Linked DNA regions of Oreochromis niloticus. The protein of the gene in region 2 interacts with the protein of the main gene of each other region in a pairwise test. Links are inferred from orthologs where the notes say so. Each region holds a gene or a part of one and is shown on either strand. Other genes may lie near its edges. The genes, in order: dab1b and clasrp.

Region 1 (12,354 bases), on a different chromosome or scaffold from region 2:
TGAGTATTTCATACGGTGCCAACTGGCGCAACATGAGTTGAGCTGAAGGTCATTGTGACTCATTTCCAGCTCAAAAGCTGGGCGGCTGGAAACAGAGCTGCTAAAACTCTGCTACTGACTTGTTTTAATAGCACAAAGACGATGCCTCTGCGGAAAGGAGCAGACTGCAGACCTTGTGCTGCTACTGTACACCACTGATACAGCACACATGTACAGACTGTACAGTGCCAAAATACAGTTGAGATTATAGTAACGGGGAGTGGGTACAGATTGCTGTTGAACCTCGAGGCATATGGCAGGGCGCCCCATGCCTCCCAGCTAATTGAGTCCTAATGAATCATTGGTTTGGCATGCTACATGTCCCTTGTGATGGCTGGTGTCATTGATGCATTGAAGTTGCCCAGTCCTCTGGAAGTGAAGCGGGCAGTGATGGCTGCCCCGGTTGAACAGAGGAGGCAGGCTGACACTGCTGGCTTCACACTGAACACTTCACTCACTCACCAGATGTTACAGGCCAAGGCACAGGGATTACTAGCCACCCGCCTCTGCACAATGGGAATAACTGTATGACGGACTGGTAATTCACTTCCCCATCTGACTCCAGTGAAACCGTTTATAGCGTTAGGGTCAGTGCCTCATTATCAGCTCAACAGGATCAGTGCGATAAGTGACATGAGGTTAGGAAAGCAGTACTTGATTGCTGTTTTTGCAGAATGTACATATTTATCTACAATTGTCTGAATTACAATGAGATCATTTTGGATGGAGAAGTTTATAAGTTTGATTGTTTGCAAATGTGAGTGGTTTTATTTGCTTAATATCTTCAGCCTTTGTTTAATTTTGGATATAATAGCTTAATTGGAAACAACTTAACATATGTATTAATAAGGCATAAACAGAATTAGATTTTCCATTCAGATACTCTTTATGAAGCGAAAGACAGAAACTTGCAAGGCAGTACAGCCTCTGTCCTGTGGAGGATGTAAAGTGTGGACTATTTCCAATTTTTTATACTGAAACAGGTCCAAAAAGAGTATTTTCATTTGAACATTTTCCAGTTTCAGTTTCGCATTTTATATTCTGCATGACTGCTTGCTGATGCTACTGAGAGATTGTTCAATAAGCGAGTCCTGTTACCATGATATTGCTGATGTGAAGTCTGTCCAAGCTGGATATTTTGGTTCTTAGCAGGATGGCTGTCCTAGAGGACGTTAAAAACAGCTTTCATGCTGAGAGTTAGATGAAAAAATCAATAAGGGCAACATGACCTTAAACTGCATGAGACGCTGGAGCCAGCAGCCTGTGAGCTCAGCTTAGCATAAAGATTCAAACCAAACAGCAACAGCTAGCTTTAGCTTGGCTCCACTGGCTGCACACTAGCTTGTTAGCACAGAAGTTTATCTGGCGCGGGAATGAAGACTTAAATACTCGTGCTTTGTTCTTTGTTAGTCACAACAATGGATGGAATGAATCTCTATTAGTGACCATATGCAACTCTCAACTCTGCAACTATAAAACAAAAAAGGAAGGCACTACTTTGTGGTGCTATCCAAGTTCCTCATTAGCCAAACAGCTAGTAGGGTAGACCAGGATTTGTTGCTACACTTTTTGGTCTTGCATGAATTGCTGATCATTGAATAGCTTTCAATAACTATTCCTTTGTTAAATCAGAGCTTAAGGTGCTAGCTAAACATGGGTATCCTTTTCATTTTTGCAATTAATTGTAACACACAGTAATTAACCATCAATGACACCTTGTGAAAACCAACTGGGGTTGGTTGTCCTGATAGTTATCAATGGTGTTTCTAAATGTAAATTTAGAAATGAACACCATCTATTACACCTTGTAATTAAATTGTGAATTTAAACAAGTGATAATTATTGTGTATTATGAGCAGTGAAATTAAGGTATTCTCAGTGCTTTAACGATATCACTTTTATTAAAGCCACTAAAACAACAGAGAACAAATTCCACTGATGTATCACTGATATAATTTTAAAAAGGCCAGAAGTTCTCTATATCTTTTAAAAGACAAACAGTTTTGGGGTTTTTTGCAAGATTTTCCCACAGGTAACCAGAGCAATAGTGTAAACGTGAGAAGAAAAATTAACTGCATCAGTATCAAACTCACTGGTCTCCATTTAAGTCCTTATGCATGCTCGATCAACCAGGTAAGGAAAGTTTCTGGGATCTCCATTTTAAGGTTGCTTGTTGTGATTTAGCAAGCCTATACATCACTCAGCATCACACAAGTCAGTCATGACAAACATATACCTCTGTTTTTCAGGGATAAAGTCTTTGTGAGATCAGTTTTAGCAGACAACACAACAAAGTCATACTCCCTTTGGTTTATGGCTCAACAAAAACCATTCTGTCAACAAAGAATCAACCACAGGGTAACAGTGAGACCTAGCTACCAAATGGCTTTGGTTGGGTAGTGAAGAACTGATTCAAATCAAAGCTATTACCTTCAACTTTTTAATAAAAGTCCATCTTAAATGCCTAATATTGTATGATTTTTTAATACAGAAACAACAACATGAAAACTCTGACCCAAGAAAATTACAAAATGTGTCCTCCCCTCAAAGTTTGTGTTTTCCACCAACTGACCACAGCAAAAATGGACATATTGTCAGGTCAATGTGGGATACTGACAGATTCCACGGTGTAATATGGCAATCAACTTATACTTGCTATTCCTTCCAATACCTTTAAAGTTTAGTATTTAGCACTTTGTTTGTTCATCAAATTAACAGAAAACAAAACAATTTAATAGGGGGTTGTGTTGGACTACTTCAAGATGGTGCCAGTTTGCTGATGTAAACTCAACAAAGTTACTCATCCCAAAACCTAGTGCAGCACATGGCACCCTGTAAAATGGAAAGCTGTTTTGCTCTTTGATTTCACACCATGTAGTCTGAGTTCTTGCTTCTGACACATTAAGTTGCCCCAACCTTCCCTGCACCTGTCATGGTGATTACACTCCCAGGAGGGTGGCGGGTGGTGGTGGGGGGCGAACGTGTGCATCATTCAGCTTTCTACAATACACCGCTATCGGAGCAATCTCCCCCTTTTTGTTCAACTCCGGCAAGCGAGGTCACCCCTGACCTGCCTCTGCCAGGGGCCACATCTTTATTAATGAACAGACTAAATGTGATAAGGCCGCCAGCAAAAATCAGAACTCAGGCACAATCTTGCTCATTAAAGCTACTTTTTTATAAAAGATTCAGGCCACTCCAGGAGTCGTGTGTCTGAGTCTGAAACTTTGCATTAGTGTCAATGCGAGGCCCTGTTCGTTAGACGCATTACCTCAGAACACTTGGTAGTTCACGTTGAGGTAATGCCGCTGCGAGATGAAGAGAAACTACAAATGCGATAATCCACCAGGCTTTCAGCAGAAACAAAAGAAGAGAAGCAGAGTGTGGCACGGTACAGCAAAGGGGTGAAAAAGCCCAAAGATTTAAGAAGTGCAAAAAAACAACAAGCTGAAATTGCTCCAACACTGCTGCAATGCAATCGTGAAGAGTTAATACAGAGAAGAAATACCCAAACCACCTTTCCTCCAAATGCAAAAGGGGAAAATTCATTATGGTCTTAATTGGATAAGCTATATCCACCATATGCACCGGCTGCTTTCGCTTTCAGGAGCTAAATGAAGCGCCTTGATTCCACTGGGAGACCCAACAAAGAAGGCCTTACTGGAGAAGTTAATGCTCTCTAGTGTTTTGTTGAGCTCTATCTTAAGCCTCACAATTCACACTGGGCTGCAAAGAAATGTCTGGGGGTGACAACTGGAAATTGTAGCATGTGTGTGTGTGAGTGGTAACACATCCATCCCACGATCGAGCTACTGAGCACAGCTTAGGCTCTGTTGCAGAGCATCCTCACTAAGGAGATTACGAAGGATAGTTTGGGCGACTTGCAGAAATCGCCAGTGAACTTTGGCACCAGCGTGAGAATCCTAGCCCCAGACCTTCACTTTTATCCCACCAAACCACGACATAAACAAGATGCAGGTGAGCCACAGTGTTTCAGCAGCACCCTGGTCTGTAGCTGATGGCTGCTGTGTTACTACATTTCCACTACAATGCTCATTTCCCATCATTTACGATTGCTCTCACACAAGCACCCATGTAGAAAACACAGAGCATCATGACTGACATATGGTCCAGTAATGAACTTTGCATTTGAACTGGTAACATTGGCTCCAATTCAATTTTACCCAAAGGGGGAGGGGGTTTGGGTTTGAGAGGTTATGATTATGAAAAACAAAATAATAAACAGCCAGGACAGCAGCCTGTTCTATTGAATGATTTAACACAAAAAACTATATTTTGTCTATATGTGGTTCTTTTTAATTAATAAAGACATGCCTGTGGACCAGGGATGCACCTTGTTGTCTAGGGTTATCTTTAAATATAGAACCAAGATTGATAGCAGACTTTACAAAAATAAAATAACCAAAGTTTAGCCATGCTTATACAACACAAGTAAGTCCTACAAATCCAGACATATATTAAAAATCAACATAAAAAATAAAATAAAAAATTTTAAATGACGCAAATGGAAGTCGTGTCTCACGCTACCCCCCACCCACCTCATCCACGTCTTCCAAGACTAACTGGAATGCTTCCACCTCCACACTGACCCACGAACGTCGCTGCTGACCGGAGGACTCACACTGAAGGCCCACGCACTGGTTTTTCTGGCACATTTTGGCTCACCGCTGCCGGACAGACCGGCGCCGTTGTGCGCTGTGCGCTCCCATCCAACCGTTCATCCACAGGTACTCAGCCCCTACTACTGCAGCCCACCGAGCATTCCCTGACCGCTTCCGCACTGAAATCAATACATTTATCAACATATGCGTCATCATTCATCCATTCGCTCAGCATCGGAGCGGGCTAACACGCACTCGTTTGAGAATGACTTACTGCTGTTGCAGCAGAACATCTCTTCATTTGAATATTTGTGGAGGGAGGGAGAGCAACAGACGTGGTGGGGAGAAGAAAAAAAAGATTTCGCCTGTTCTCACACTTGTTCCTTTACACGAAATCCCACAGCCAAAAGCCCCCGTGAGCAGCTAACGCGCTGAAATCGTTTAAAAACAATCAAAACCCAAACGTCACTTTGTAATTTATGCGCAATTCGACGTGGGACAGCGGGTTATTTGACAGGCAACCGGCGTTTGCGCTTCAGCGGACTCCACATTCAAATCCATCAAAGCAGCACCGACGATCAGGTTCACAGCTTCATGATCACATTTATTTCTCTTTCCCTTTTTCTTTCTTTCTTTTTCACTCTGTATGTGTTTGTATCCCGGTCATCCACAGCGGACTGGTTCCCATTTTCATTCAACGCATCCTATCCATAAATCTTGACATGTCGCTGAGCTGCCTTGCATCCTTAAACAGCTCTGTAGTTTCACAGTTTAATGCTGAAGCACCTCTTCACCGCACACCCCTCCCAAAAAAGAAAGAAAAGCTGAGATGTTACTCACCTTTTCTCAGTGGATGCTTTTCTGAAGTGTCCCATTTGTGCGTTTTAATCCACATCTGTGTCTCCTTCATTTGAGCGCTCTATTTCCCCCCCTCAATGAGCGAGAGAGGGAGAGAGAGGGAGGAAGCGCGTTTAAGAAAATCCATTTGTTAATTCCATTTGCCGGACACTCAAGGTGAAATCACATTGCCTCTGCCTCTTTTTTTCTTTCTTCTGTTAACAGCTTCAAAATTCTTCCATCATTGTGAAAATCCCGTAAAGCCCTATCATCTTTTTGCTTTTTTTATCTTCTTCTCTCCAGCACTGAAGTTGCTTGGTTACCCCTATTTCTCATTCAAGGAGGCTGAAGCGCTGCATACAGCGGCCAATCATAGCAGCAGCCGGAGAGATTAACTATTTCTTGGCTCGAGTATTCTAGTTTCAAGCTTAAATGAGGAGAGTAGGCGGGGAAAAACTGGGCCCCCGGTGACAGAAGAAGGGAAAAAAAATTAAAATGCACAGAGAATAATGTAGAGAGGGGATCCGTTGGAGGGAGAATGTGTGGAGGGGGGAGGGGACGAAGGGGATTAAACATTTTCGAAAAATAAAGGATTCTGGAGAGGAGGAGGGACCAGTTGCCACTTCTCACAACAACAAAGATGTAAGTGAATAATATTCCTGCCTTGCAGGGCTCTCATGCAAACTGGAGTGGAGCCTCCATTCCTTCTGAATTTGCCTTTAAAGAGCAGAGATCCGTCTCATTTCAGAGATCCCCAAAAAGCAATCCATCAGGGTAATTGATCATCCCCCTTTAACCAGCCATCCATCAAGTCCAAGCTCTCTCTCTCTCTCTGTCCCCCACCTCCTACCTTCCCTCACCCCTGTCTCACTGCAGTCGCCTCATCATAGGCTGTATTGATTTTAATTTACCCCTTCAGATTGTCAAGGGGAGAAAGCCAGGTTCGCTCACCGGCTCATGCAGGCGTAATGACCCCCTGCCTTCAAGGTCCTTTATTGAGGAACATCCAGGTCAAGCCCCCCACCTCTCCAAGCACACGCCTACCTTTGGTCTTTGTGGCCTGCGCATTGAAGGCTTCAGACTTGCCCTCCACCACCACCCCTCACAGGGTGCCATGCAGGAGTGGTGGTGCATTATGGGCAAACAGTCGGGGGTCCTGACAGGGAGACAACAAGCTTCTCAAAGACAGACAGAGCACCAGCAACCATTGAGAGGGGGTGACCTGTGTTGGGGGGACTGACTGCACGCTCATGATGTAGAACATTCCTGCAGAATGAATTTATGTTATTTTATTATTATTGTTTAGTTACTTTGTCAGCCGTCTTGTTGTCAAAGTTGTTTTTGAAGCACTTTGAAGCATCTTCTTCATCCCACATTACAGTTTGAGGGAGATGTCAGCCACATACGATTCATGCTCGGGTGCCAACTGAGTTCACACATTTCACAAAAAATAAAGTTTGTCTCTTTTTTTTTGTTGGGTGACTGACGTATCGCTGGCTTCGCTCCATCCCACAGATTCCGAACGAATTCAGCAAAGTTGGGGTCCTCGCTGTGGGATCAGAAGAGCACATGTATGTGGATGTACAGTTGTGCATGTGACACACACACACACACACACACACACACACACACATATGCACATGCACATTGGCACAAGAACACGCACAAACACTTAGTGGTTGATTGACGTGTAGCTCCTGGCTTGAGCACAGCTTAATCCTGCTGCTTTCACAGATGGACTCAGTCTTCCTCTTTTTGTCTGGTGTCACGAGCAGTGGCACACACACACACACACACACACACACACACACACACTGCACATCCCCATGTACTTTTGTTTACCAGGGAGGGAAGCTGCTGTTTGGGTTTTAATCCCCTCTGTAAACCTCCCTCTCTTTATCGGACACCCCTGCTACTGGACACACACACACAAACAAGCACACAAACACACACACAGTCATCTACTCTTTGGTCATTAAAAAGAAACAAAGGAGGTCAGTGTCAGGAGTGGAATCAGGCAGCTGTGTCCTGTGAGGCGAGAGTTAATCCTCATTTCCAAGGCCCAGAGACAAAAAGGAGCCTCGCAGATGAAATGCTTCGCAGTTACGCAGGAACTCGTCACTTTTGTGCCACCTTGTTCACCCATCCATCCACCTCCACTGTAAAGGGGAAATTATGGTTCAGCGGTGGTAACGCATTGGCAGCTGTGGGTTGAATGTCCACCTGCAGCAAGCACATGTTATCAGATGGGGGCAATGTCAAAAATATGTGGTACAACTGGTCTGTGGGCAACTATTGTTTGTGTTACTGATGGCCAGTCAGTCATCCACAGAGAAGAGTGAAGTTATATAAAGAGCTGAAGTGAAACTGAGAGTTACAAATGATTAAAGGGTCCACTGCAGCCATTGTCAATTCCCCAATTCCCTGTTCCCAACCATTGTCAACCAGTCAGCATTAACAAACCCCTCTCCACAGGCTCTCTTTAGGCAAATACACACGCAGTCCCTAAATTAAGAATAACAGGGAGTGTTTGTTGTTCATTTGCTCGGCTCATCATAGGTTTTTTGGTGGCATGAACCAAAAGGGGAAAGATTAGACTTTTCTCCCCCTCCCTAATCGTATTCCACTTCTGGAAAGGCTTTGATTTCCATGTAGATGGAGCCACGTTGATAACGGCAGGGAACTGCCCTGGAGAAATGAGGCAGGGTGATAAGATAAGGAGAACAGATCCCCGTCCAGACAAAAAAGACAAAGAGGAGAGCCGTCAGCCCACGTGGCGTTTAATCTCCATTCAATCCAGAGATTAGTTAAGTCAAAATTCTCATCGCCGCACCCTGATTAGTCAGCTCCCTAAGGGGAGATGGGTAACTGGTGGCTACCTTGCAAAACCTCAGCATGAAAGCTGATCAATAATTAGTTCCCGGTTTTAGTCAGAGCGGCAGCTTTGGGGTCACGATATGTATTTCAAGGACAAAGAAAAAGGTTATTGTACAGACAGAGTGCTGATTTGCCTCTGATTCTGGGCATGAAGGTTGCCAAAAACACGAACAGTAAGTGCACGTCCAGTCAGTTGCAGTTTTGACACTCAGAGTGAGCATGTTTTCCAGGAAAGAAGGATGTTTGCCCAGCCTGTGGGTTCTATGCTAATAGACTGTTTTAATCAAGTCTAATCGTATTGTCACAGCAGAGCGTGAGCGATTAGCATTCAGAGAGGCACGGCGGGGCAAAGCCTGACATCGATAAATGACATGTGACCCCTGACTCTGACTACTCCGGCTGCTGAGAAGTTCCACTCCTTTTATCGCTCTCACCCCGGGCCACTTCATTTCCGGTACCACGGGTAATCATGATGTACTCCATCGGCTGTGGGTCTAGAGGGCACACTTCTCAGGGGACTGAGACAGAACACCTGTGGTAGTGCTCATATTTATTATTGAAGGAAATGAGCAAGTTGTTCAATGTGACTATCAATTATTGTGTAGATGAGCTGGGACTGCACTGCTACTGTAGTTAGGTCAATAGTTTTTTGCTCAAAGGCACATTTTTTCTAGTTTTGCCTCTGCACGCTTTCACGGTGGATTTTGAATCAAAAAACCATGGTGTGATTGAAGGCGAGACTTTGAAGTTTAATTGAAGTGGGTTTATAAAAATAGTGAATTAACTGTTTAGGAATTACAGCCATTTTTATACAAATATATCAAGAATTTGGTACATTTTTGAAATGAAAAGCAAAATCTAAAAGAAACATCTGAAGAGCTGACACAGTTCTGGAAAGATGAAACCATACTTTTATTTATGCATAACCAAAATGACAGGAAGACAACAGCATGGAGACGGTGAGAAACAACTCATGATTTTAAGTATAGCGCATCATCTGTCAAACACGGTGGAGGCAGTAATATGGCATGGGAAGATATGGCTGCTAATGATGTGATTGCTGATAGAAGTAGCAGGATGAATTGTGAAGTGTACAGTGCTGCACTCTCTGCTCAGATTCAAAAGTGATCAGACAGCATGTCACAAAAGTGGATCATGAGCCAAAGCATATGGAAAAAAGCAACCCAGGAGTTTCTCAAAGGAAGGACATGGGATATTCTTCAATGGCCAAGTCAGTCACTGGATCTCAACCCGATAGAGTTATTAAATACAAGACTGAACGCATAAAGACATGAGAAAGTGTGCATAAAAATGGCTGTATTTCCTAAACAGTTAATGGACTCATCCATCCTCTAATCTAATATCATTTTATAGTAGTATTTTTGGGTTTTTTGTTCTGTTTTGTGGTAGTTAGCATGTCTTTGGAAGTAGTGCAATGTGTTTCTGTTGGGAAGTATGGTATGGAAATGCATGCAAGTCGACTATTTGTTCAAGTCCACAACTGTCCATCAATGTAGACCCAGAAACTTTTAAAAATCATAACTTATTGACTGAGATCATACCGAGTCAGTGTGGTCTGAGTATGGTCCTATTCAACACGATCATGCTGAGACCACATGGGGAAATGGGAGGCATGAAATGCTCTTCAAGCACTTCTTCTTTGGCTTGAGCGGAAACATTTGCATGCCAGCATGTCTCCAAATTAAATTTTGTGTGCTTTCAAAAGGCAGCTGTTTGCTAACATCTGTGACATATCCACGTTTTATGTCATTGCTGAAAACAGCTTGCTCCACTGCCCTATATTGCTCAAAACAAACAGGAAAAAAAAAATCAGTTAATACTGCTTTAATATTAACTGATCCTTCAGTCTCAAAGGATTAAGTGTTGTGACCTTGAAGCAGCAGTCAAGAAATGAAAAGCTACAAAAAGGTAGTGAATCAGCATTAGGATTCATGCAACTGAACAGATGCAGTGCCGATGCTCAGGGGGGCTTTAACTTTGTTTCAGTATCGTGCCACACCTTTACCCTTGTTGTCTTGCTCTAAGCCATTTTTGTTTCTCAACCAAGAACACCACAACACCGGCTTGTTAATCTCATGCAGCCGGAGCAGCTGTCTTTTCAAGGTCAAAGAGGTCTGGAGAAAATCTTGCTGATAAATCTTGAAATAATCAGACCATGCAAATCCAGATGCACGCACTAATTTGTGAAGATGAAACCCCATCTTCGATTTCTATCTAGGTCGAAAGAAGATCTACATACCGTAGCTTTATATTAGTGTCAGTGTAACAAGGCGTCTGTGTTTTCTAACTAACCTTGGATTTTTTATTTTTTTCCCACCGTGCGTGAATATTGAATTTTAAACTATCAGCAGTGAAGTGAATGGGTGGGGTGGTAGCGGGGATTTGAGGATTTTTGTGATGCTGCTGGAATTTATATCCAGCCATCACTTGAACCACACTGGAGCATACTGTATGCAGAATAACAAGTGGCAGCATGGAAGCAGTTAGTCTAGCTTCAGCGTGGAGGATACACATGGTCGGAGCTCAAGCTCAAGGTGTGAGGGTTTATTAGCCGCTGATATTAAATCCCAAGAACAGGAAATAAAGCAGATGGACAATGACAAGTGCCAGTTTGCATTTTGGATTGGAAAAGGAACTTGGATTTACACCCATCTGCCAAACTCGCATTCTTAATTAAAAGCGCAATGTGGATACATTGCCTCTGTACACTGCTCGGATACAGGCTAGCGTGCAGACACATCTTATGTCACTTATTTGCGGTGAACATCTTGACTGTAGCAGAAATTTGGCTCCACTCTGGGCCATTTGCATTCCTTTTTCTTGCTTCTGCATCCCCCGCCGAGTTCTTGTTGTTTCACGACATTATACAGCGCGGGGAGACGTGCACATCAAGCACCAATTTGGTTGTTTGCTGTGTGCAAATGATGCGTAAATGAAGCGCAGACACTGCAGATGTCACGTGTTTACATACAAACTAAGCTGTGCACGTTTAATAGCCTCATCTGCACAAGTTTGATCACTTTTCTCTTTAAACTGACAAAAGGGTGATCTCCCTTTCATGTCATTTTAAGCGCTATTCGTGAAAAAGTAACACAATGTGCTCTTTGCTCAATCGGCAACCCCAAGCACACAGCATCTCCTTTGGGGAGGGACGCATGGAAACATGCGAGACCTCGTCCATGTCCACTTTATCAAAGAGGGCCTGTATTTCATTTTATTTATTTACTTTTGTTTTAGCCAGTGCACTGGGTGTTCAGAAGTCGCTTTACGTGCACATGCGTGGGCACATGCGCACACACCGTACGTGCATTTTCCGCCCACTCATCTCCGCGATCGGGCTGTCACAGGGGCGCTATGACAGAGACAATGTGACAGTATGTGATTTATTGTGTCAGAAGAGAGCATAAAAGAGGCTAATTGAGGGGTAAGTGAAGGAAGCAAAGTTTGCAGGTGTCAGCGTAACTTTGGCCGTGATGAATTTATTCACGGGTGGGTGACGCTGACATGTCAAGGACAAAAACCATATAATTAGCCCATAAATTTAGAAAGTGATTAATTCTAAATTCCTGCTATTTAATTAAAATATGCAAATAGACAGCCATTCCCACTAACAACGCGACACACTTACCGGAGTAACAAAGTTTGGCGGGGAGTTAAGTCACTTTTGAATGATAGTTGACTTAAACAGAAGAATTCTGCCGCTAATTCACACACACACACACACACACACACACGCAATACATCTGTCTCCACTGCACATTTGCACCACTGCGCATCACTGGTTTGCCGAGCACATTCGGGTCCAGCAGTGGTGACTCAAGGAAGCTGACTCCTTCAAAGCAGAAGAACAGTTGAAGAGGCATTACGGATATAATTGGATTTCATTTCAACCATGTGGCGGGGGGGGGAAGACTTGTCACCACCCTGGAGAAAATGGAGCCAAAATCACTGTATTTAC
Region 2 (13,402 bases):
TGTGAGGAGAAGGATGAAAGAACAGTCACCTGCAACTGTCCCACTGGATATTCTGGAAACTTCTGTGAGGTCGGAGAACGTAATTTAATTTATTTTTTTAATAATTAAAACTAAATGGGTATTTTTTTTAGTTTAACTAATGTGTGAAGATAATTTCTAGTAAAAAAGATGAAACAGGCATACAAGGTAATATTAGATGTTACAGTCTCTGAATCAAAGACTCAAGGGAACCTAACATAATCTGGCCCAGAAAACTGCTGCCATTCAATATACTTTTAATAATGTAAATATGATTACTTACAAAGAATAAACATGAATGAGGAAAATGGAAAACCTGGCAAAAATAAACAAAAGAGGAAGAAGATCATGAAACAACCATACAAGGAGCCATCAGATTCCATTTTCCCCTAAACTAATATTAATAACCTAAAATAACAGAACCAAACTCGAAAACACGACTGCCCGTAACTCCAAACTCAAGCCATAATCAAAAGCAGCAGAACGACATCACCAGTGCTGCTGACGAGGATCAGGAGACGAGGTACTGAGATGCCAACCAGCAACCTCCGTGCTCCACCTTTTCTAGCTGTATATGCATGCCAGTGAGCCTTCTGCAGCCAATCAGAGTGAGAAACAAATCAGAGGTGAAAGCAGAAGATCAGAGGAAGATAATAGATGTGTGGTCGCACAGAGAGCGCGCATAACATCATATAACAACATATTTCAAAAGAGTAATCCAAAAAAGATTGAAAGAAAAATCGATATGATAGATTTAAAAAATGGGGATTTTAGAAATTTAGTCTTTATCAGAAGTTCATGTTACACAATGGTAAAATATGAATTTAAACCTGTTCCAGAAAGAGAAACCTGAATATTTACAGTGTTGAATGTGCTGCTAAGGTAAATGAAAAGCACAGTAACAAATGTATTATGCAGCTAATCTCAAGTTCATTTGGTTGGGGCGAGGCGCTGTCCACACATACGCTGGTATTCTGGTAAACGTATCTTTAGTCTATGGATTTTAGTCTTATGTCCACACATACAACAACTGAAATAAAGATTTAGATTTAGAAAGTTATCTGCTTTTATCTCTGTTTTGACATCAGACTGTGTGGTTTTATCGCCTGTAGCCTTCTGATTGGCCAACATTTATGTTGCATAGAACTCAATGTTGTTTCTTTTTCTTTTTCTTATGAATGGAGATATTTTACAAAACAAAAGCAGAAAATCATTTTTTTAAGTAATACATGGACACGGACCTGAGTATAAATAAAACATGTGATGATATCATGAACAAAGGTAGAACAAGCTTATAATTAAAAATAAAATACAGAATAAAAAAGTGGATTGAAAACTATAGACAGCACATCAGATGTTACTATTTATACCAGGAATAAACATGATTCTAGCATTTTAGCCCTATCAGAAGTGAAGTACATTAAAAAGTCCACAGAAGTAAAACTAAAACTTTTTAAGAAAAGCCAAACAGTAAATAAACTTTTTTTTTTTTTTATAATATTATAAAAACCTCTTGGCTCCAGATTGCTAGTTTAATGCCTACATTTGTTAACTTTAATGTGATCCTTGAAAATCTCAAATAATTAGGTAAAATAACAAATCTAAAATATTCAGGTTTATATATCCGGTGTCTTTAGTCTTTCAACTTTCAAATTCATTTTTGTTTGTTTATTTTTGTTTTTCAATCCCTGCTGAGCTACGGGAGAACTCATACTATTAGGAGGAAATTTTACACCAAAAAGTTTAAAAATGCTAAAACTTAAAAAAAATTCATTGGCTATAAATAAACATTTGAGTTTTAGCATTGAAAGTGAAGTAAGAAGAGATCTTTTAAAGATCCAATCAGAAACATCAGAAATTTCACTGGAGGTTAGAGAGAAGTGGATGTCTCCCTTAACTGTCTTATTGTTTTGTTTTTTCCAATATTTCAGGTCGTGTTGGACTTGTGCAATCCCAACCCCTGTCAGCAAGGCGTGCAGTGTCACATCATAGATGGCAGGAACACGTGCATCTGTCCTGACGGTTACTATGGTGACGAGTGCATGAGCCTCAAAAATCCCTGCATTGGTCACCACTGTCAAGGTGAGAGAAATACTTGTGCATCTTTAAACGTATAAAATCTTGATGAACCCTGGTCTGATCTTTCACGTCTCAACACCCGAAGGCGCCATGTCTGACTCAGCACACGGGGGCCTGAGCTTCTACATGATCCTGGTGGGAGTCTTAGCTCTGGTGACGGTCTGTGGCTGTGCCGCCTGCGCCTTCATCCTGTCCCACCTCCATCGGAAGCGGAAAAAGCAGCAGGCTGTCCCGCAGGAAGAAGGCATCAACAACCAGAGGGAGTTTGTCAACCTCATCAGAAACGTGGACCGTCCGGTGCCCCAGCTGCCCGCTGCCGCCCCTCTCACAAACCCTCCAGCTCCCGCCCCCGTCTCACGTTGCTACGAGGAGATTGAACTGACCCTGCCGCCCTCCCCGGCCCCCTCACACCCTTCCCCAGCACTAAAGCCAGCACATGCTGCCAAACTGGACATTTCAAACCAAGAGAGGGAGAAGTTGAACCGCCTCCACTATGCAGATAACCAAGAGCTGGAGGTCTGACCCCATGCTGACCTTTTAAAGCCCTGAGGAGCTGTTTTTTAAATTTACTTTGCGTCCTTAGCACTCTTTTGCTCACAGGACCCCGTCTCCAGTTACTTGCACTGTGTCGATGTTGCAGATATGAAAATTAAAGGTGACCCTCTGACCTTTATAAACAAAGATGGCTGTGCGCAGACACCAGAGGAACAAAGGCTGCTAAGCAGAGGGGTCGAAAGAGCGTCGTCGCCATCGTCTTTGGGCCTTCTTAATGGCCATGAAAAAGCAGCACAGGCATAAAGTTGAGCTGAAAGACTCAACAGTAAACTGAAAACCTAAAGACTTACAGACTTGCCTTTGAGTGCCTGTGAAACTGTCAAGAGTAAACAGAGGATCTTCCTCCATTTGAGTCCCGATACATTTCCTGTTCGGTGTTGCCATCTGACTGTTGTCCAAACCTCCACTGAACTCTGACAGAAAGGATCAGTGAACAGATGCCTATTTAACATTTTTTGTTTGTGTCTGGCTGTGTGTAAGTGTGTGTGAGAGTGAACGAAAGACTGGATATAATTAGTTTTTGTGAGAGGGGAAACATTTCACTCTGCTTAGAGTGAAAGTGCATCCTCCTGAACCAAAGGCTTGCAAGCCTCCTGAGAACATTTTTAAGAGTATACACTGATGCCTGTTTTGTCTCTGTAATACTGCAGTTTGCCCGAGATGTATGGTTTTTATCATACTTGTGTGTAACATAGTTGTTTTTGTACATAAATAGTATTGTACATATTGATGCCCTTTTTGTACTGTGATTCATTCTGGAAGTATCACTGTATTACTGTCCCCTGTTTTTCCCTTTATACTTTCCATTTGGAGCAGCAAGCACATGTGGAATGTAATAAAAGTGCATTTACCAACTCGATTTTATACCTTTTATTAAACTCCAGGGTTTAGTTGTCCAAAATAATCCCTGTGAGCCGAAAGCTTAGGCTTCAGACAGCTCTAAACCCTCCCTTCCAGACAGTTTTTCCTTAGGTCTGAATAATGAGAGGAAGAGCAGATAACTCTAACATGGTCAACTGCTGTTCAGCTCTTCTGTTTCTGAGGGGCAGCTAATCAGATGAAAGCTGGTATAAAGGGGGAGGAGCTAAAGATGACAAGATAAATTATTTAGGACTGTGAATAATGTAAAGCTGCTCTAGTCGATAATAACTCCCCAGTCTTCTCAGGACTCTCATTTGTACTCAATAATCACTACTACCCACTAAAGAGTTTCTAAATCCTTGAATAAAAAGCTATTTTCAGTTGTTCTGTTATTCACCAGTGGTCACTGTCTGTTTGATTTAGTTGATATTTTGCACCAGAAGCCCTCCCTGACACAACCCAAAAAGGATTGTGTCTCCTCTAATACCACTTTCTAATAATATGTAGATCTGCTCCATTTGTTAATACGGCCAAAGCAACAATATATCATGAATGCACAGTCCTTTGAAGATACAGAGATACTTTTGACCATAACCGTATATGTAACAAAAAGCATCCAAGCTTATTTTTAAGCTTTGGAATAGCAACATTAGTCTTAAATTACTTACATTTGTTTAAGAGTTATCAGTTCTTCTAGTTCCTTGTCTCCCTGTATGCATTTTTCAGATGTCACAACCAAGCTTTCTGTTCATAAATCACTGACAGAGTCCCATGAGAGGATATTTCATGTTGGAGCACAGGCACAATGACTAGGTCAGTAAGTCACCATATACACAGTGACTTTCACTATCTTCCTTTTCTTTCCCTGACACTCGTTGACAAACAATGATGCTGACGGTGCCAGGAAAATATGGGAGACCACCTGACTGACCCCAGCTTTCCTAAAAAACAAATGTGTGGCTGCAAAAAAAAAAGGAATAATAATAACAGTAAGTTTCAAGAGCAGCGGGTTTGTGCAAACTGCTGGTCAATAGCATTTAAAATGCTGGAAACACTGGCAAATATTTACTTAAAGTTTCTGGTTTTAATGGATCTACAATTACTGAAGTTACCTGTAACCATTTTTGCAGATATCAGACAGTCTATGTTGTCCTAAATCATTACAGTACAATTTTTCTGTAAACTGTACTCAAGTGCAGTTGTCTAAATCTGGGGTACACTTGGGTACTTCCAGATCCAGTCCTTTTTGGACCCATGACATGCCATATTTAACCTATTCTTTTTTTTCCCTTCCTTTCTGGAACTCTTCCCATATATGTGGCCTTTTTTTCTCTCTCGTGTGTATCTGTTTATTTGTTTGTTTCTTTACGCTGCACTGGTGTTATTGAAAATTTAAAATATATATATATATATATATATAAAAGATCATTACAGTAAAGCATGCTGTGTGTTACTAAAATATGATAAATTGCCAAGTGTAAGCGGCTCCAAGGTCACAGCATAGACATTTAATGTGCAAATAGATGTGACAAATGTGACCTCTGACCTGTGCAAACAACAGTGGGCTGGAAATGAACATGGTTTCCTGTAACCATGCTGGTCATGAGGAAATGTAGAGAATAGAGTTTACACACACAAACATAGACGTATATATATACATACATATGTACAGGCATCTTTCTGCACCTGCTGAGCAGGATGTCAAAGCCCAGCGTGCAGATTAGAAAGCTTCAGATTCAGCCAAGGGGTCACTGCCCCTCAGTGTAAAGGTGTTAAATGCTTGTCCTTATTTTCAAAGCACACTTTGCAGAGAAATAAAATACGAGTTAAAACAGACACACACAAACACACACCCTCAGCACAGTTATAGGTTTAGTAGCATTATAGACACTGAGAAATGTACCCGGGGCTCAAACCTTTAGCAGTTTTATGAAATGACAGAAGTATTTAGAAGTGATCCTGTTTTGACTTCAGTACTGTGATAATATGTTCAGATTTTGCTGTGTATGAAAGGACTCTGAATAAGCTAAGTCATCCTGATCGTTTGGATAATCCAGCAAATAAAGCATTACAGTAATTTAAACTGTAGCAATATAATCTCTCTGGTGTGTTCGGGGTCTGCCTCGGGGCCTCCTCCCAGTCGGACATGCCCACAACACCTCACCCAGGAGGCATCCGTGTCAGGTGCCCGAACCACCTCAGCTGGGTCCTTTCCATGCAGAGGAGTAGCAGCTCTACTCTGATCCCTCACGGATGGATCCAAGTTACTTTTCTGAGGAGCTGTGTGATTACAGCACATTGGAGAGATAAATTATATTTTTATAAATAAAACGTATTCTATATAATTTATTTATCCAGGTAAAAATCTCATTGAGATTAAAATGTCTTTTTCTGGAGAGACCTGTCCAAGAGGGAAGCATAAAATGATATAACAAGTAAAGGAGCAAATACAACTGATATTCAGAGACAAGTGAACACAAACGTGCAAAGCATTAACAGCACTCACACTGACCAAAAGATTTATTCTCTCATTCTTTTAAAACAGTCTTAAAATCCACAATCATATCCAGTTCTGACACTTTCAGCTCCTTTCTGACTCTGTGACAAATATCAGCATGAGATAAATAAGAGGAGTTAAAGATTCTTTATTATCATTTTGCAGTCACATAACGAAATGCTGCGTGGTAGCTCTCAGCTTAAAACACAGGCAGACACACAATGAATAAATACACATAACAGGGAAAGGTAATAATGTAGATACCTGATGTAAAGTTCAGCTGTGCAGTGGATGCCTTGGTCTTTTAATGCATGCGATGTGTGCGTGTGTGTGTGTGTGTATGTATGAAAATCAGCAACTCCAGAAGAGTTGATTTATACAGAAAAATGTGGTAGTTCAAATGAATATAAGAGATCTCCTTTAAGGATTTATTTTAGTGCCCATCCACATGTGCAGCTGATGCACTGACCCAAGGACACCTGGGTTTGTATTTCTGACAGGGATTCAGGAGAGCTTGACAACAAATACAAGAAAAACTAGAGCTTAAACGCTGAGTGACTCTCACTAGAGCAGCATTGATACATGTCCTTGTGCACATAAAGTAGTCATAGACTGGTACAGGGGCATAATACTTTGTAGAAAGAAAGATTAATTTAATTATTTTTAGCTGGATTACCACAAATGTTTTCACACACAGTTTGCCAATTCCTTGCAAGTGTCTCTATTTAACTGTGATAGCTTCAAATGTGCATATTTCCTGTCTAACAGGGACATCTTGTGGCCAAATACGGTGCACAACCTTAAAAACCACTGAGCCGTTTTTCATACTGAGTTATTATGTAACTTTCATTACGAAGCCAACAGATAATGTAAATAATATGCACAAACTTTCTTTCAAAATAAAACACATATATTATCCTGTTTAAGTTTAAGGAAGGCTTTTCGGAAAGACTCATCTTTGTGTTGGCATAAGGTACTGTTCAGTTTCAGCAATAAAAAGAACTACATTTATTCAAACTTTTAATTATCATAGCAAAGTATAAACTATATCTAAAAAGCCCAATTTAATCAATCTACATATCTATTCATAATTTTTCAAAAGGACACCGAGCATTGTATTAAAACCATCTGTGAATTTAAAAAAAAAGAAGAAGAAGAAAGCTGTCAAAATGTTTTTTTTATTTGTGATGCTTTGCATAGAATCTCCTCTGACTCTGGTCTGAGTTATCTGCTGTGAAGGTAGAAGTGGCGATTATTGTTTACTGTGTTTTATAATAAGGAGAATTTTTTTCAAAAGTATCTTCCCATTAATGTTACATACACACGCCTCCCCGCAGCGCCCTCACAGGCCAGAGTCGGTACTGCAGCCTGTTATATATATGCGAAGGAGGCGTGTGGTTACGCTCCACTCCGCTAACATCGCTTTTGGCCAACTGAAAACAACCCGTGTGTGTGTTGGCGATTAGTAAAACAGGTACACTGTGAGAATTTAGACCGCGCTGAGTACCCTGTACGGCCGTATGTGTAGTTTTCAGTGTTTCGTAGCTGCTTTTTTGACCACTGTTCCCAACGTCTTTGCAGATCAGCTAAGCTAGGCTAGTTGTGATGCTAACTGGTATTAAAAAGGCCCGGGCTGCATGCGCAGTCAGGCCCGTGTGTATGCTAACAAACTCCTACATCACTTTGATAACACGGATTTTTTTTAGCACCCGGCTGAATCTGAACGCTGAAAGTGGGGCGTAGACGGGTTAAAATAACCGTTTTAGAGGACAAACAGCGTTGTAATGTAACCGTATTAACTACGTAAATACTGGATAGAAAGCTATGTTAGCTTTTTAGCTTCAGACTGTTTAGCTACTGCTGTAAATTAAAAGTGTGTTTAGTGGTAGAAGATGCAGAGGTGACACCTTGATTCACAGTTACTGTAATTTCTGTGATGTACCAAAATCACATTTTAGGTGTTTGTTTTTTCCAGTGAAATTCATTTTATTTATTTTTTAAAAATATAAATCGGAGTATATTTGCTGTATTTGCTTGTTTGTGTTATTTCATTAATGTCCCTGTTTTAGCAAAATTGAGGACGAGGAATCTGCTATAGAAAAATATAATCCTGTCATTACTGCGGATATGAGCTTCGTCAAACACTCCGAGAAATGCATTGGAAGTGTATACACTGATGCAAATGAATGGCAAACGTATACCTTTTAGGTTTCGTTACACTGAATTTCCCTCACATGTCTAACATGACGTGTCACAACTTCAGTTTTAGGAAGTGACCAATATGCCTCAGTTTACTTATGAATAGACAGGCTACAAATATTTTGTGCATTCATGGCCGTTTAATCTCGGTATATGTCTGTTGTCTTGCTAGAAATTTAGACGTCACTGCGTGCCTTAGGTTGTCAAGTGTTTAACAAGGAATGTAGGTAACTATTGCATTACAACATTGCCTGTGTTTAGTGTGAAGCTTAAGACTGGGAATTTTCAGTAGTCTTGAGTGTTGATAGTGTGTTTGCAGATGTGCTGGTTGCACTCTGTAGTTGGTTCTGATCAGAGATATCAACTGTAATATGTAAGAGATACTTTCTGTCTGTATGTCAGTGACATGATGTGGAGTTCAGAGCTCTTGAAGTGCTCAGTTTATAAAGTCCACTATTTATTTATTTTTATTTATTTATTTTTCTTGCCTCTAACACCCTTAATCTCACTTTCCCCTGTCTCCCATGATTCTTGCTTGTTTGCCCTGAGTAGCAGCCGTGCCCCGCCGCGCCCCCACCCCTAGCGGAGCCGTCATGTGGCAGGAGGCCCGCAAACATGAGCGCAAGCTCCGTGGCATGATGGTAGACTACAAACGGCGAGGCGAGCGCCGGCGAGAGTACTATGAGAAGATAGTAAGAAACTTTATCATGTTGCATTGCCACAGTGTACCACCGGGTAGGAGTGAGCAGGTCTGGCCTGAACACTCTTACTGCAGGATTTTTAAAAAAGAAGAAAAGATTTGAGCAAGTTTATACCCAGTTATGTGGGTCCAAACTTTGTGGTATTTTTAAAAACATATGCATATAGTTGACACAGCTTTCAGTTATCCTCATTGCATCAATGAACCAGTTACTGTTTACAAAAAAAAAGTGTCAAGTTTTAGAAGTTAATTTCTATGGTTGTTGGTTTCAGTTTAATTAAAGTGCTGTGCAGTGTAACATTTCATAGTTTTAGATATTAATCAATGCATTGTATTCTTACGGTTTCATTTTCTTTTGACAGAAAAAAGATCCTGCTCAGTTTCTTCAAGTTCACGGTCGAGCCTACAAAATCCACCTGGATCCAGCTGTGGCACTGGCCGCAGAGAGCCCTGCAAACATGTGAGGAAAATCACAAAATCGACACATAATAAGAGATGAGCCACACCACAGAGCTTATGATCACATGTTGCCTCCTTTCTGTTGTCTGAAGGATGCCTTGGCAAGGAGATGCCAACAACATGATTGACAGGTTTGATGTAAGGGCTCACCTGGACTACATCCCCACCTACACGCCACCTCTGCTCACCACATCGTAAGTCTGAAAGTACTTAAAGCCACATTTTTAACATGGAACCCACGTTGTGTGAACATTTTATTGGTTATTTATTTACTTTTTCGTTGTATGATTCTACATGGGACAGTTGTGAGGAGATCATCACACATTCACCATATATTGTTGTACATATGCTGTACAGATTATGTATTCAACAGTTAAGATAGTTCATCAAAGAGGGCTTTCAAAAAATAACCAGTCATAATTTGGTATGGATTATGTTTTCAGTTTGTTATTTTTTGTTTTGTTTTGATTTGATTTGATTTGATATACCTTTATTAGTCCCACAAGGGGAAATTTCTTGTTAAGGCTGCCGACCTATTGCGCGCAATGGCGGCGCCATCTTACCCTCCGACCATACATACATTACACAAAAACATCACATGGGGAAGACAGGTCAGAGAGGTATAACAATGGAAAATGCACCACATGAGGAAAGATCAGGAGAAAAAAATAACTCCCCCCAGACTGAGCTCCAATGGGGAGATCAGATTGAGAGCAGAAAAAAAACACCTCTGCACATAGCACATGAAAAAACTCTTAATACACCAAAGTTTGTTTTTAATTATGTGGAAACATTTGCTCTTGTATGAGGTTGAGCTGATCTGACTTTAGTCGTCAAAGGAGATGGTGACCCCATTTTTTGTTTGTTTTAAGAAAAAAACCCAAAACAGGTCATTTTGTCACCTGCAAAATAGGCTAGTTTAATTACTTATATTATAATTTCTATAATAATAAAGCTAAAACACCTGCTGCAGTAGTCTGTAGTAGTAGATTTATGTTTTATTCCATTTCTCTAAATTGGGAAGCAGTTTGCAACTAGATGGATGTTTTATTGTCCATATTTAAAATTCGACTTTGACTCTACAAGCACAGCTTTAGTGCTTCTGGTGACCCGCTCCTAAGACAGTGGCAGGTGGGGGCTTTGACTAGGGCAGTACATCTGTCCAAACTGTAACGCAGGTGTCCTAAGGTGAGCTCAGGGAGGACAGAAACCACCTGTGGAGCAGAAGGGCAACAGCTTGCATGACCTTGATTCCCAGTATGAATACAGATTATTAAAATAGGTCCTCATGATCCTCCGGATTTCCTGGGTTTTAAACCTGTGGTCAGTAAGTGCTGGATTGTTGACCCGCTAATAGGAAAGTGAACTGATTTTTAGGCCGTTGTGAGACGTTTTAGTGTTTCCCTGCGGATGATGTGATGTTGTAGCAGTAATTCTGCTCAGTACGAGAGCAGTTGACATTATGTGTATGTCTTTGGCCAGTGGTGTGAAGCTGCCAGCTGCAGGATTGACTGAACACCTCTAAACAGGGGTGAAATAAGGTGTGAGCACAATCCTCAAATGCTGATCATAGCTGTGGTTAGTTTTACAGGTTCACTGTTTTCTAAACACAGGCACAGTCAGTCCATTTCAATAACAAGTGCCAAAAATAAACAGTGTTTGAAAACATTAACAAATCAACTTGTGGACTTGATTTAAACAGATTTTACACCTTGTGAAAGGAACTCCCAAAAGGCATGCGTGCTGCAACAGCATGATAGCAAATCTGGCCCTGATACTGTAGGCCTTTGGTTGGTTGCAGATAGCCGCCCATGGGGGTGAAGGAGAGCAGTTTGTGACTGGTCAGGCGGAATGCCAAATGATGGTCACCTCTCCCCAATCTTGGACTCGTGTTTGTGGAGAACTTGCTGCTAAATAACTTGTAAACATCCTGATTCATTTATCAACACACCACCAATGAGGAGACTTTATTGAAGATGGTTGCTGGGATGACCGGGTGGCTACTCTTAAAACTTTCTCTGATAAATACCCCTCCTATTACGTTATAATAATTTAAAAGACTAAAACTAACATTCAAAATGATAAAAACTAAACTAAAACTAAACATTTTCATAAAGTGAAAACTAATCTAAAGAATGCCAAGTGATTCTGTAAAGTGATGGAAAACTAAATAGAATTAAAGAATTAAAAACAAAATAAAATTTAATTTAAAAATGCTGTTTATAGCACGACTGTCTGTTTCGATCTTTATGTGTTGTAATGCTGATTACTTCACTGACTGCTTGTGCTGGTGCATTGAAACTTGTGGTAATAACCAAAGAGTGGCTTTTTAGTAAGACTTCTGGTTCTTACTCTGTGATAAAACACCTGCTGCTCAGTAATTGAACAGGTCATCTGTGAGATTGTATTTTTAGTCATCTTTCATGCTTGGTCAGGACACAAACCAGTTCAGTGTGGTGAGATTTGAGCATTCAGCGAGGTGTTTAATGTGACCAACAATCTTCTTTGTCTCATGCAGCACTCCAGAGCAGGAGATGGAGGAGAGAAAGTGTAACTATGAGCGCTACAGAGGCCTTGTACAGAATGACTTTGCCAACAGTGAGTGTTAACACACAAAATCTACATGACTATGTAATGCGCTTAATAGTGTTGCACCTGTATTCTTAATGTGACCATGGCAGTGTGTTGACCTGCTCTCAGTGGGTATATTTTGCAGTTGTGTTGTGCTCTTTAAATCCCTCCTGTCCTCCTGCAGTCTCTGAGGAGCAGTGTTTATACCAGATCTACCTGGATGAGCTCTATGGTGGTCTGCCCAAACCAAATGAGGATGAGAAGAAAAAGTATGAACTAAATTTTAAAGTGGTTCTTTATCACCACTGTGAAATCCAGTATTTTAAGTTGTTTTCATAAATCTTTCCTTGTGTTGTGCAGACTGGCTGAGAAGAAGGCCACCATTGGTTACACGTATGAAGACAGCACTGTAGCAGAGCCTGAGCCCCAGTCAGACAAAGAGGAAGACAATTCAGAAAACAGTGAATCCGAAGATGACGAAGGCATTCCAGATATCGGTGAGCATGTTTCACTGGAGTAATCTATGTGTTAGGGAAGTAAAATTCAGGAGATGACCAAATAAAACATTTAGAGGCACAGCTGTCCACAGAGAATGTGTTTGATCAGCTTTTCGTCTCTTGGATATGTGAGAGTTATTCCACAGAACGTTTCTCAGAAGAGACTAAAATCTGAAATTGTCAATTTGACTGTGCGAGCTGGATTTGTTACATCATTTAATGCAGTGCAGGCTTCAAATGGCCAGATACACATCTGTGTGGCTTCAGACTAACCCTGAAAATGGACTTCAGCGAAGGAGAAATGTCACATCCCAATGAGAAATTAATGCAGTTAAACCAAGCTATTTAACAGCATGTAAAACGCTAGTTATTGAGAAATAACACTAGTTATCTTACACTGTACCTGGAGAAGATTGTCTTTATAAAAGTGATCCACTCAGCTGGCACTGCTCAACTTTATTTTTCTCTTTTCTGCCAGGTTGCAGGTTTTTCTTGGTTATGTGATAATCGTGTTTTAAATGCTGTTAACCGACGATCTGATCTCAGATCAACAGTGTTCCTGTTTAATGCTTGGGTAAGAAATCGACTTGTTAAAAAATGGTGTGTGTGTGTGTGCGTGTGCGTGTGCGCGCGCACTTTCAGATGTGGAGGTTGATGTTGATGAGCTGAACCAGGAGCAGGTGATGGACCTGAACAAAATGGCAACGCCATATGGAATGGCTGAAGGAGACTTTGTCAGGTAACATGTCATTAATCACATCATGATGTCAGAGTCGAACCCAAAGCAAATTTCTGAAGAAAAACGACGCCCAGTGGTTCCTTAAATTTTAATTAGTGTCTTGACCAAAGTAGAGTTAATGTAGCTTTTTTAAAATTCAGTTTTTTTTTCTTTTCAGTTTTTTCAAGTTTTTAGTCTTTTTAAGTATAATTATATGGAGGGCATATCTCAGAGGTGAGATTTAGGAA

What was found.
Region 1: the proteins of clasrp (region 2) and dab1b interact in a two-hybrid assay, tested with the Homo sapiens proteins (2 studies listed by BioGRID and IntAct). The link is inferred for Oreochromis niloticus from reciprocal best matches to the Homo sapiens genes CLASRP and DAB1.

The regions. Positions count from the first base shown.
Region 1 is NC_031982.2:8,795,683-8,808,036, forward strand, and holds the start of dab1b (DAB adaptor protein 1b), read right to left. Parts: upstream 5,954-12,354; 5' UTR 5,502-5,953; intron 4,872-5,501; exon of another isoform or gene 4,599-4,871; intron 1-4,598. UniProt on the Homo sapiens protein: Signaling adapter of the reelin-mediated signaling pathway, which regulates the migration and differentiation of postmitotic neurons during brain development.
Region 2 is NC_031979.2:23,407,576-23,420,977, forward strand, and holds the start of clasrp (CLK4-associating serine/arginine rich protein), read left to right. Parts: upstream 1-7,331; 5' UTR 7,332-7,484; intron 7,485-8,761; 5' UTR 8,762-8,802; coding exon 8,803-8,901; intron 8,902-9,271; coding exon 9,272-9,369; intron 9,370-9,460; coding exon 9,461-9,562; intron 9,563-11,886; coding exon 11,887-11,966; intron 11,967-12,123; coding exon 12,124-12,208; intron 12,209-12,299; coding exon 12,300-12,436; intron 12,437-13,078; coding exon 13,079-13,175; intron 13,176-13,402. Other genes in the region: protein jagged-1b, read left to right, coding at 1-69, 1,950-2,100, 2,183-2,619. UniProt on the Homo sapiens protein: Probably functions as an alternative splicing regulator. May regulate the mRNA splicing of genes such as CLK1. May act by regulating members of the CLK kinase family.